2 linked regions of the Sus scrofa genome follow. The protein of the gene in region 1 purifies or fractionates together with the protein of each later gene. This does not show direct contact. Links are inferred from orthologs where the notes say so. Each region holds a gene or a part of one and is shown on either strand. Other genes may lie near its edges.

The links.
Region 2: the proteins of ARHGEF6 (region 1) and PAK2 purify together in Homo sapiens (affinity purification with mass spectrometry; 3 studies listed by BioGRID and IntAct, counting the BioPlex papers as one, with this or other methods). This does not show direct contact. The link is inferred for Sus scrofa from reciprocal best matches to the Homo sapiens genes ARHGEF6 and PAK2.

The regions. Positions count from the first base shown.
Region 1 is NC_010461.5:111,802,005-111,805,812, reverse strand, and holds part of ARHGEF6 (rho guanine nucleotide exchange factor 6), read left to right. Parts: intron 1-192; coding exon 193-292; intron 293-1,723; coding exon 1,724-1,778; intron 1,779-3,288; coding exon 3,289-3,429; 3' UTR 3,430-3,808. UniProt on the Homo sapiens protein: Acts as a RAC1 guanine nucleotide exchange factor (GEF).
Region 2 is NC_010455.5:133,380,516-133,384,777, reverse strand, and holds the start of PAK2 (serine/threonine-protein kinase PAK 2), read left to right. Parts: upstream 1-1,271; 5' UTR 1,272-1,614; exon of another isoform or gene 1,615-1,843; intron 1,844-4,262. UniProt on the Homo sapiens protein: Serine/threonine protein kinase that plays a role in a variety of different signaling pathways including cytoskeleton regulation, cell motility, cell cycle progression, apoptosis or proliferation.

The sequences.
Region 1 (3,808 bases):
GAGAATGTGCCCCCCGCCCCCAGGATTGACTCCAGGGACTTGGCTGCTTTGCAGGTCTCGCGTCCGAAAGAGCCAGATGCCTGGCAGCCACAGGAGACCCCACAAAAACAATAGGAGAAAGGGCCTGACAGCAACAAGTCCTCTCCCCTCGTAACTCTCCCCTCTCCTGCCTCCTGCCAACCTTGTCTGTAGGTTCTCGCAAAGACTCCGTTCCCCAAGTCTTACTTCCCGAGGAGGAGAAACTCATCATTGAAGAAACCAGGAGCAACGGCCAGACCATCATCGAAGAGAAGTGAGTAGAGCAGGTGAAACGGTTCCTGATTGGTCTGGGGGCTGGAAAGAAGGTTCTGGGAGCCTGGCCCTCTTTGCTGATCGTGCAATTGGGAGCCCAGGGATGCCCCTCACATTTATTGACTCGGACCCTGGACTTCCACATGCCTGACTCATTTGAACTCCTACCGCAAGCTAGTGAGATAAACAATTAGTTTTCCCCCTTTTAGAGATGAGGAAACTGACGTTTAAGGAAATCGTGTCCCTGGCCTCCCTTTGCACAGTGGTGAGGGTGACCCAGTGGGGGAAAAATCAGGCTAAATGCCGTATGGCTCATAAAATAAACACAAAGTAGACAAACAATTCATTGGTTTAAACTTGACTCATTTCTGAAGTCAAGGCTAAATTTGCCTAGGACAGCATATTTCACGGTGCTTGGCGTCGTCAATGTATTTTTCCATCTGGTGTTTGAAGTGCTACGGCCAAATGGTAAAGCACTTGGGCTCAAGAGAAGAACAGCCCTGGTTCAACTGCAAGTTCTGCTCCTTGTTGGTGTGACCTGGGGCAAGTTCCTGCCCCCTCTGTGCCTCAGTTTCCCCATCTATATGATGGGTGTGATAGTAATACTTTCAGGGTGGTTGTGAGCTTAAATGGAGTAAGAAGTACAAAGGTAATCACTTAACATATGATGGTGGTTGTAATTACTAAGATTATAGCTATATGCATCCCCACAGCAACTCTGTGAGGTTTTCAGGGACTGTAGCATTACCACCAACTTGTATGTGAAGGGAACTGGTTGCCCAAAGTTAGAGGACCAGGAAGTCGTGGGATCAGAACTGGAACCCAGATCTCCGAAGTCCTCTTCCAGGGGGAGATCCAGAGAGGAAAGGGCTCTTCCACAACTCAGCCAAGGCACTTTATCCTTTTTCTGAATATATGGAATGTTCCAGAACACCCTGAATTTGTGTCCTGTACGGTGGTGTAGGGTCAGATAGGCAAGAAGGGCAATGCCACCTCTCCTTACAGGTGGTGGTCCTTCTTGCCCACAAGAGAGAAAGCAAAATCTTAGAAGGAGTCCTACTCCCTTTCTTTTCTTGATTTTTCCCCTTAATTCTTTTTTTTCTATGAAAGTAGAGTTGATGTACAATATTCTGCAAGTTGCAGGTATACAATATACTAATCTCTTTTTTGGTACCCGCCCAAGCCGGGAAGTGAGCCGCAGAGGAGGAGGGAGGCATAGACAAGGTGTGAGGATGGGGAGAGTGCTTGAACACGCGTGTGTGGCACAAGTGAGGAACCTAGGGAGTATCCACAGCAGCGTCTCTCCCATCAGCCAGAAAGCCCACCGCTTTGCAGGATCTGTGTTTCTATAAAGCTGCTTTTCTTCTAAAGTATCACTTAACAATACTTCAGTGCCAGCTGTTACTCTCTGAGCTTTACCTTTGTATTCTAGGAGCCTCGTCGATACTGTTTATGCCTTGAAAGATGAGGTCAAAGAGCTGAAACAGGTAATGAAATCCGAAAGTCTTTTTTTTTTTTTTTTTTTTTGTCTTTTCTAGGGCTGCACCCATGGCATTTGGAGGTTCCCAAGTTAGGCGTCTGATCGGAGCTGAAGCCACCGGCCTACACCATAGCCACAGCAATGCCAGACCCTTAACCCATTGAGTGAGGCCAGGGATCGAACCTGTAACCTCATGGTTCCTAGTAGGATTTGTTAACCACTGCGCCACGACGGGAACTCCCGAGTTTTTTTCTCACTGGTCGACACCTTCAGGAAAGGACCAGAACAAGGTGGCGAGGTGGGGATTTGTAGTTCCCTTGTGTCATCCAGGTTTTGTGGATTTTACCACATGGCCCTGGGTTTCAATTTCTGAGGCTTCCTCATATATTTTTTGAGGGGTTTACAGTAGGGCCCCAAACTTAATGACAACTTTCATGTTCCTGGACATTTGCAAACAGAATATAAGAAAAGATAAGTCAGGAGTTCTCGTTGTGGCTCAGTGATTAACGAACCCGACTGGCATCCATGAGGACGCGGGTTCGGGTTCAATCCCTGGTCTTGCTCAGTGGGTTAAGGATCTGGCATTGCTGTGAGCTGTGGTATAGGTCACAGACGCGGCTTGGATCTGGCGTTGCTGTGGCTGCGGCCTAGGCTGGCAGCTGTAGCTCCGATTAGACCCCTAGCCTGGAAACTCACATATTTGGCACATGCGGCCCTAAAAAGCAGGAGAAAGAAGGAAAGAAAGAGAGAGAGAGATGAAAGAAAGAAGGAAGGAAGGAAGGAAGGAAGGAAGAAAGAAAGAAAGAAAGAAAGAAAGAAAGAAAGAAAGGAAAAGAGCGAACCAGGGGGAATTTCTGGCTCAACTGGTTAAGTATCTGGCATTATCACTGCAGTGGCTCAGGTCGCTGCTGTGGCTTGGGTTCCAGCTCCAGCCCAAGAACTTCCACGCGCTGAGGGAGTGGCAAAAAAAAAAAAAAAAAAAAAAAAAAAAAAAAAGCCAGGGATTGAAGAGGAAGCTTCTTACCTGGGTATCCAGTTTGATATGACAGTGGCCTTCACGGAAATCAGAAGGAAAAGAAGTTTGGGTGATGAGGGGAGATACTGACTTCGCTTTAGGACACAGTGAGTTTGAGGTCCTCGTAACACATGTAAGTGGAAATATCAGGTCGGCACTGGGGACCGGGGACCCAGTGCACATGAGCCGAGAGGAGGTCCGTACCAGAAAGACGGAGAGGCTGCTTCGGAGAGACGTGAGTTGAAAGAGAGAAGACATTAGGTAAAGAGAGTGTTGAAATAGAAGAGGGCCAGGGCCAGAGCCCTACATGATGCTTGTGTTTCAGGGACTGGCCACGGAGAAGTAGGGGAATCCAGAGGCTGCCTTGTCCTGGAAGCTGAGGGAGCGGAGTTTGAGGAAGGAGCGTGTAGTTGCTTGTGAAGGCTGAGCAGGAGGCTGAGCCGGAGGAGCCCTGAGATGGGGTCCCTTTGCCTGGTAACCAGCCAGCCTTTTCCCATTGTAGGAGAATAAAAGAATGAAGCAATGCCTGGAAGAGGAGTTGAAATCAAGAAGAGACCTAGAAAAGCTGGTCCGGAGGCTGCTGAAGCAAACCGATGAGTGTATTCGGGCCGAGTCCAGCAGCAAAGCCTCCCTTCTTCCCTAACCATCACCGTGCGGCTGGCAGAGTGCCTTGGCGGCGGCGGCAGATGTCCAGCTGAGTGACCCGACTCAGCTCGCTCACTTCTTTGGTTTTTATTTTGTATCTTAGTCTCTCTCTCTCTCTCTCTCTTTCTCTCTCTCTGGTTGAGTGTTGTTGTTTGGTTATTGGTTGGTTGGTTGGTTATTTTTTTCGACAGGAGTAAAAGCCAAGTCTCCCCGGAGGCTTTCCCACTCAGTCAGAAAAGGAGGGCTAACGTAGGCAGATGACTCCCAGGGTCCTCAGATGGCCTTCCATTCACAGTGCCTCTTTTCCAGCCATCATCCCCGGGTCGCTCTTGTTGGGCTGGCTGCTATCCCAGCGCGGGCCAGCCCTGGCTTATTAA
Region 2 (4,262 bases), on another chromosome or scaffold:
AGTTTCTTTCAACACAACTTTGGCTTCACTGACATGCTTACCCCTCCAATTTCTTGCTCTCCCTTTGGGTTGAGTGGGAGTTTGGAAATCTGTCAGAGGTACTTCTCTTTCTTAAAAGCTTAGTTATGCCTTTGAAAGGATGTTCTCTTTTATCCAGCAATGTGTTTTTAATAGTGGGGGCTGTTTTTCAAGTTATCTAATAGTGTGCCATATTGCTCCTTGAATCTTTTCTCTCGTACTTTCCACATCAGTTGAGTTTTTTGCTTCACATCTATCAAAAGAACATACCCATTCTCCATTTTCACTGCTATCTCTTATGACAGTCATGATTACTGCCTCCTTTCTTCATTCCCTTCTATTCTTGAAAACCCAGAGTCCATTCTCCATGTAGCAATCTAGTGACCTTAAAGTATAAACCAGGAAACCTTCCTTCCCTGCTTACAGCTCTTTAATAGCTTGTTGGAATAAAATCCAGCCTTCTTACCATGTCATTCAGGATCCTCTCTGACCTGAATCTTGTCTCCTCAGGTGTTTTTTCACACTGCGCTACTCTTCTTGCACTAACTCCAGTTACACAGACCCTCTTAACTGACCTTAGAAAGTCCCCCCCCACCTCCTTCTGCTTGTAATGCTTTCTCCTGGGAGTTTCTCATGGCTGTCTCTTTCTGTTCTCAGCTTAAATGTCACCTCCTTAAAGATGCCTTCTCTGGCCAACTTATCCAAAGAAATCATCCTAGTTTTTTCTTCATACCAGGTATCACTATTTTAATTATTGTGTTTTCATATTTGTAAGTTACACAAAGTGACTTGTGTTCACCCTTGTATTCCTGATACCCAGCAGTGTCTGGTACAAATTAGACACCAAAATATTTGTAGAATTAGTGAACACATTGATGAACTCCTCCTCCTCCATGAATAAAACAGAGGCATTAATTTGCAAGGAGGCGCGACTTAATTTAGCACCAAAATACATTAATAAGAGTTGTAGGTAAAGGGCAAAATGGGTAACGGATGAATTCCCAGAAACAAATGTCTTAGAGCAGGTTCATATAATAACAGTTGTCTTTCAGCGTCTTTGGTTGGCACAGACCTGAGTGGAGACAATGCTGAATTACACGAGGCACTGGCTGTCTCTGTCAATAAAAAGAATACTAGAGATGGAGGGAGGGAGGAAAAGAAGAGAGATAAGAGGCACACATCTCTAAACTACAACTCCCAGCAGCCTCCGCGTTTGCCTGCCCACTGGGAGGCGGTGCCTGTCTCCGCCCGGTGGAGCTCCCGCCTTCGGCCCCGCCCCTGCCCGCTCCCCGCCGTCGCCCTCCCCCAGGGTTGTGGCCACGCGCAGCGGCAGCGGTTGTTCCGCTTCCCCTCTGGCCTGGGCCGTCGCCATTGCCGAAGGCTCCCTGCCCTCCCCTCCCGGCGCCCGCGGGGCTCGGCGGCCGCCCGGCCTAGCAGTAGAAGCCGCGGCGCTCCAGCGCGGCTCCACTTCCCGCCCCGCTTCCCCTTCCCTCCCCTCCCCGCCCCGCGTCGCTCTCTTGCTCGGGGCGGCTCCTGATCCCGCCAGGAGCTCGGCCGGAGGCTCCTCGCTGGGGCGGGGACCTTTCCTCGCCTGGGGTAAGTGTGCAGACAGGCCGGGACGCGGGCCGTCGCTCTCCTTCCTCCTTCCTTCTCCGCGGCCTGGCCGGCGCGAGCGGCCCGGGGCAGCTGACCTGCCCCGCGCGGGGCCGGGAAGCCGCCACCTGCGTGCCTGGAGCGGCAACTCTTGGGGCGGTGGCTCATTGTCTGCGCCCTCGGGCTGTTTTCTTCTCCGGTTTTAGCCTGAAATGGGAAGCTTGCTAGGCTGGTGAGTTCTGACTCTTCCTGGACCCGGCCCTGCCCTGAACCGTGTCGCGCCAATCTCTGCTCTCTGTCGATCTCCCTTCCCTCGCGTTTCAGCCTTCTCTTTTTCTCCATTTACTTTAGTGTTCGACTCACCGTTTCGGGGTTTTTAACTCGATTTTTTGTCTCTTACCGAGTTCCAGCCCCACCTTGCTACCTTTGGTCATCCCAGTTTCATTGCTTAGGCATATTGTCTGTAGTCCCCTTACTGGTTTCTAAACTGTAATCTGTGATATCTTCCATATTCCGGATCAGTAGAAACTATAGTTTTCCGAGGGTTTGAGGGCCTCCGCTTGATAACTGAGCTTTCGTATCTTCTCGTGATTCTTTGATCTTCAGCCAGGAGATGAATATTTGCTTCCTTAGGTAACTTAGGTGAAGGTTAGCTTTCACCATGTTTGGCTTTCTTTAAAATAACACACACATGCAAAACGGTACCGAAAATTCCTCAGCGGACTCAACTTTTTGACTAATTCTTTAAAGATAGAGTCATCCAAGAACTGAAGATTGGAAAGCAATTGCCATTGTTGTCAGTTGTCGTGGGGTTGTACCCGTCCTTGTCTCTTATCTTTAATGGAAACACTCTGGACAGTGAGAGCGTGATTTCTTTCCTCCTTGATGAATAATGCCAACTCCCATTGGTATAATTATCACAGTTTTGTCTTACAAGTGATCTATAGTTTTTTGTTTTCTTTTTAAAGCTCTGTTAAAAGACAATCAAAATGGTTAGGCCTAAAATTAGACTACGACGAGCAGTGTTTTGGATCAAGGTTGTGCACGTCACGTTTTTTCCCCTCCTCTGTTTGACTCTTCCGCTCTTGTAAGTAGGCAGGATATTGAAATGTAGAAGAATTTGCTCTGGGGGTTTGTTTTTGTAGGGTTACTCAAAAGAATAACATTAAATAAAGTTAGATTGTGATGAAGGCAGTGAATAGTAATTTTTAAAGCAGGTTAGAACTTGTCAACTTTGCCAGAAGCTCTGCGGCATTTATAAAACACACTTATAATAACTTCTACATGTTTTATATATGTGTATTTAAAAAATATGCATGTGAATGAAAAGCTTTGTTCATGTTCTTCTGCTAAGGGTATTGATTTAAGGCAACTCCTTTCATCCTTAGCTTTAAAATCTTTCTGGTTATTAATTAGCCCAAAACACTGACTTACGTTATGAAAAATGCACCTTAAGATGTTTCTGACCTGTAATATATGGAGGTATTAAACCCCACTTTCAGGTTTTGGTGAAGGAGGTTGACCTAAATTCAGTGAATTTTGTGTTTTCACTAGTTTATTGTTACCTAAACGACTTAGTCCTAAGCTTCACTATTGTCAAATTGGTGGTGTCTGTTGTCCTTACTTCAGTGACGTGCCTTGTTGGCCTAAGGGGTTAAGGTATGGAAGTGCTGGCGTGTGAAACAAGGTCCATTGAAGTCAGCCTCTCTGCCAGTTCTTTCTGTAAGCAGATACTTTTACTTGGGAAGAGTTCTGGGTGTTCTCCCCTTAGGTTGGGGCCTTGATTCCTAGTTTACTTTACCATTATTCAAAGAGAGGGTTATTCTTTGGGGCTTTGTGACATTAAGTACTAACCTGGGAAACCCAAATTCATAAAGTAAGTTTGTGGTAGGAGTCTGTCCACAAAACAAATGAATAGGGGTTTCTTTGGTTTTCTCATTTCTATGATAAGCAGATTTCCAGTAGACATGGTCATCAGTGATATATATGTCTTCTCAATTACACTTTTTTAAAGAGAAAACTTAGAACTTGTCCAAGTGGCTAAGGATAAACTTTCAATTATTTTAAAAGAGAGACCTTGTTCAGACAGCTAGGGATAAAATAAGTAGGTATTAAATTCTCCCCATGTTTAATCTGTCAATATTGATTAACCTAATATTTGAGTGTAACATTTCTTTTGGCTTTCTGAATTGTCTAGTTTTGATTAAAAACGTGAAACTGTGCCTTGTTCAAGTCTTTAAGAATTTGGGGTTCTGATCAGTTTTCAAAAGGCCTTCCAGTTAGAGGGCTAATTGCAGACCACGGGGCAGGGGGGAGAGGGGGTGTTAAGGTGCAGATCTGGGTTGACCCTTATAACCTTCTTGTACCTTGGTAGAAACAGAAAGAGGTGGAAGAAAATAGCCCCTGTTGCCTTAAAGAATTTTGTTTTCTTCTGGGAACGGAGTTGAGTCTCACTGCTTCTTCATTTTAGGATCACTAACCTGAATAAGAATAGTCGGTCTGAACATTCAGGCCAGATTTCAGAGGCCTAGCCTATTATCTCTAAGGTACACTAGTACTTACCGCTCCGTGTATCACAAGTGCTTAGGAGCTGGAGACCATCCTGGCTCTTCTGCTTGACCCCAGGCAAGATACACACATCTTTTTTAAGA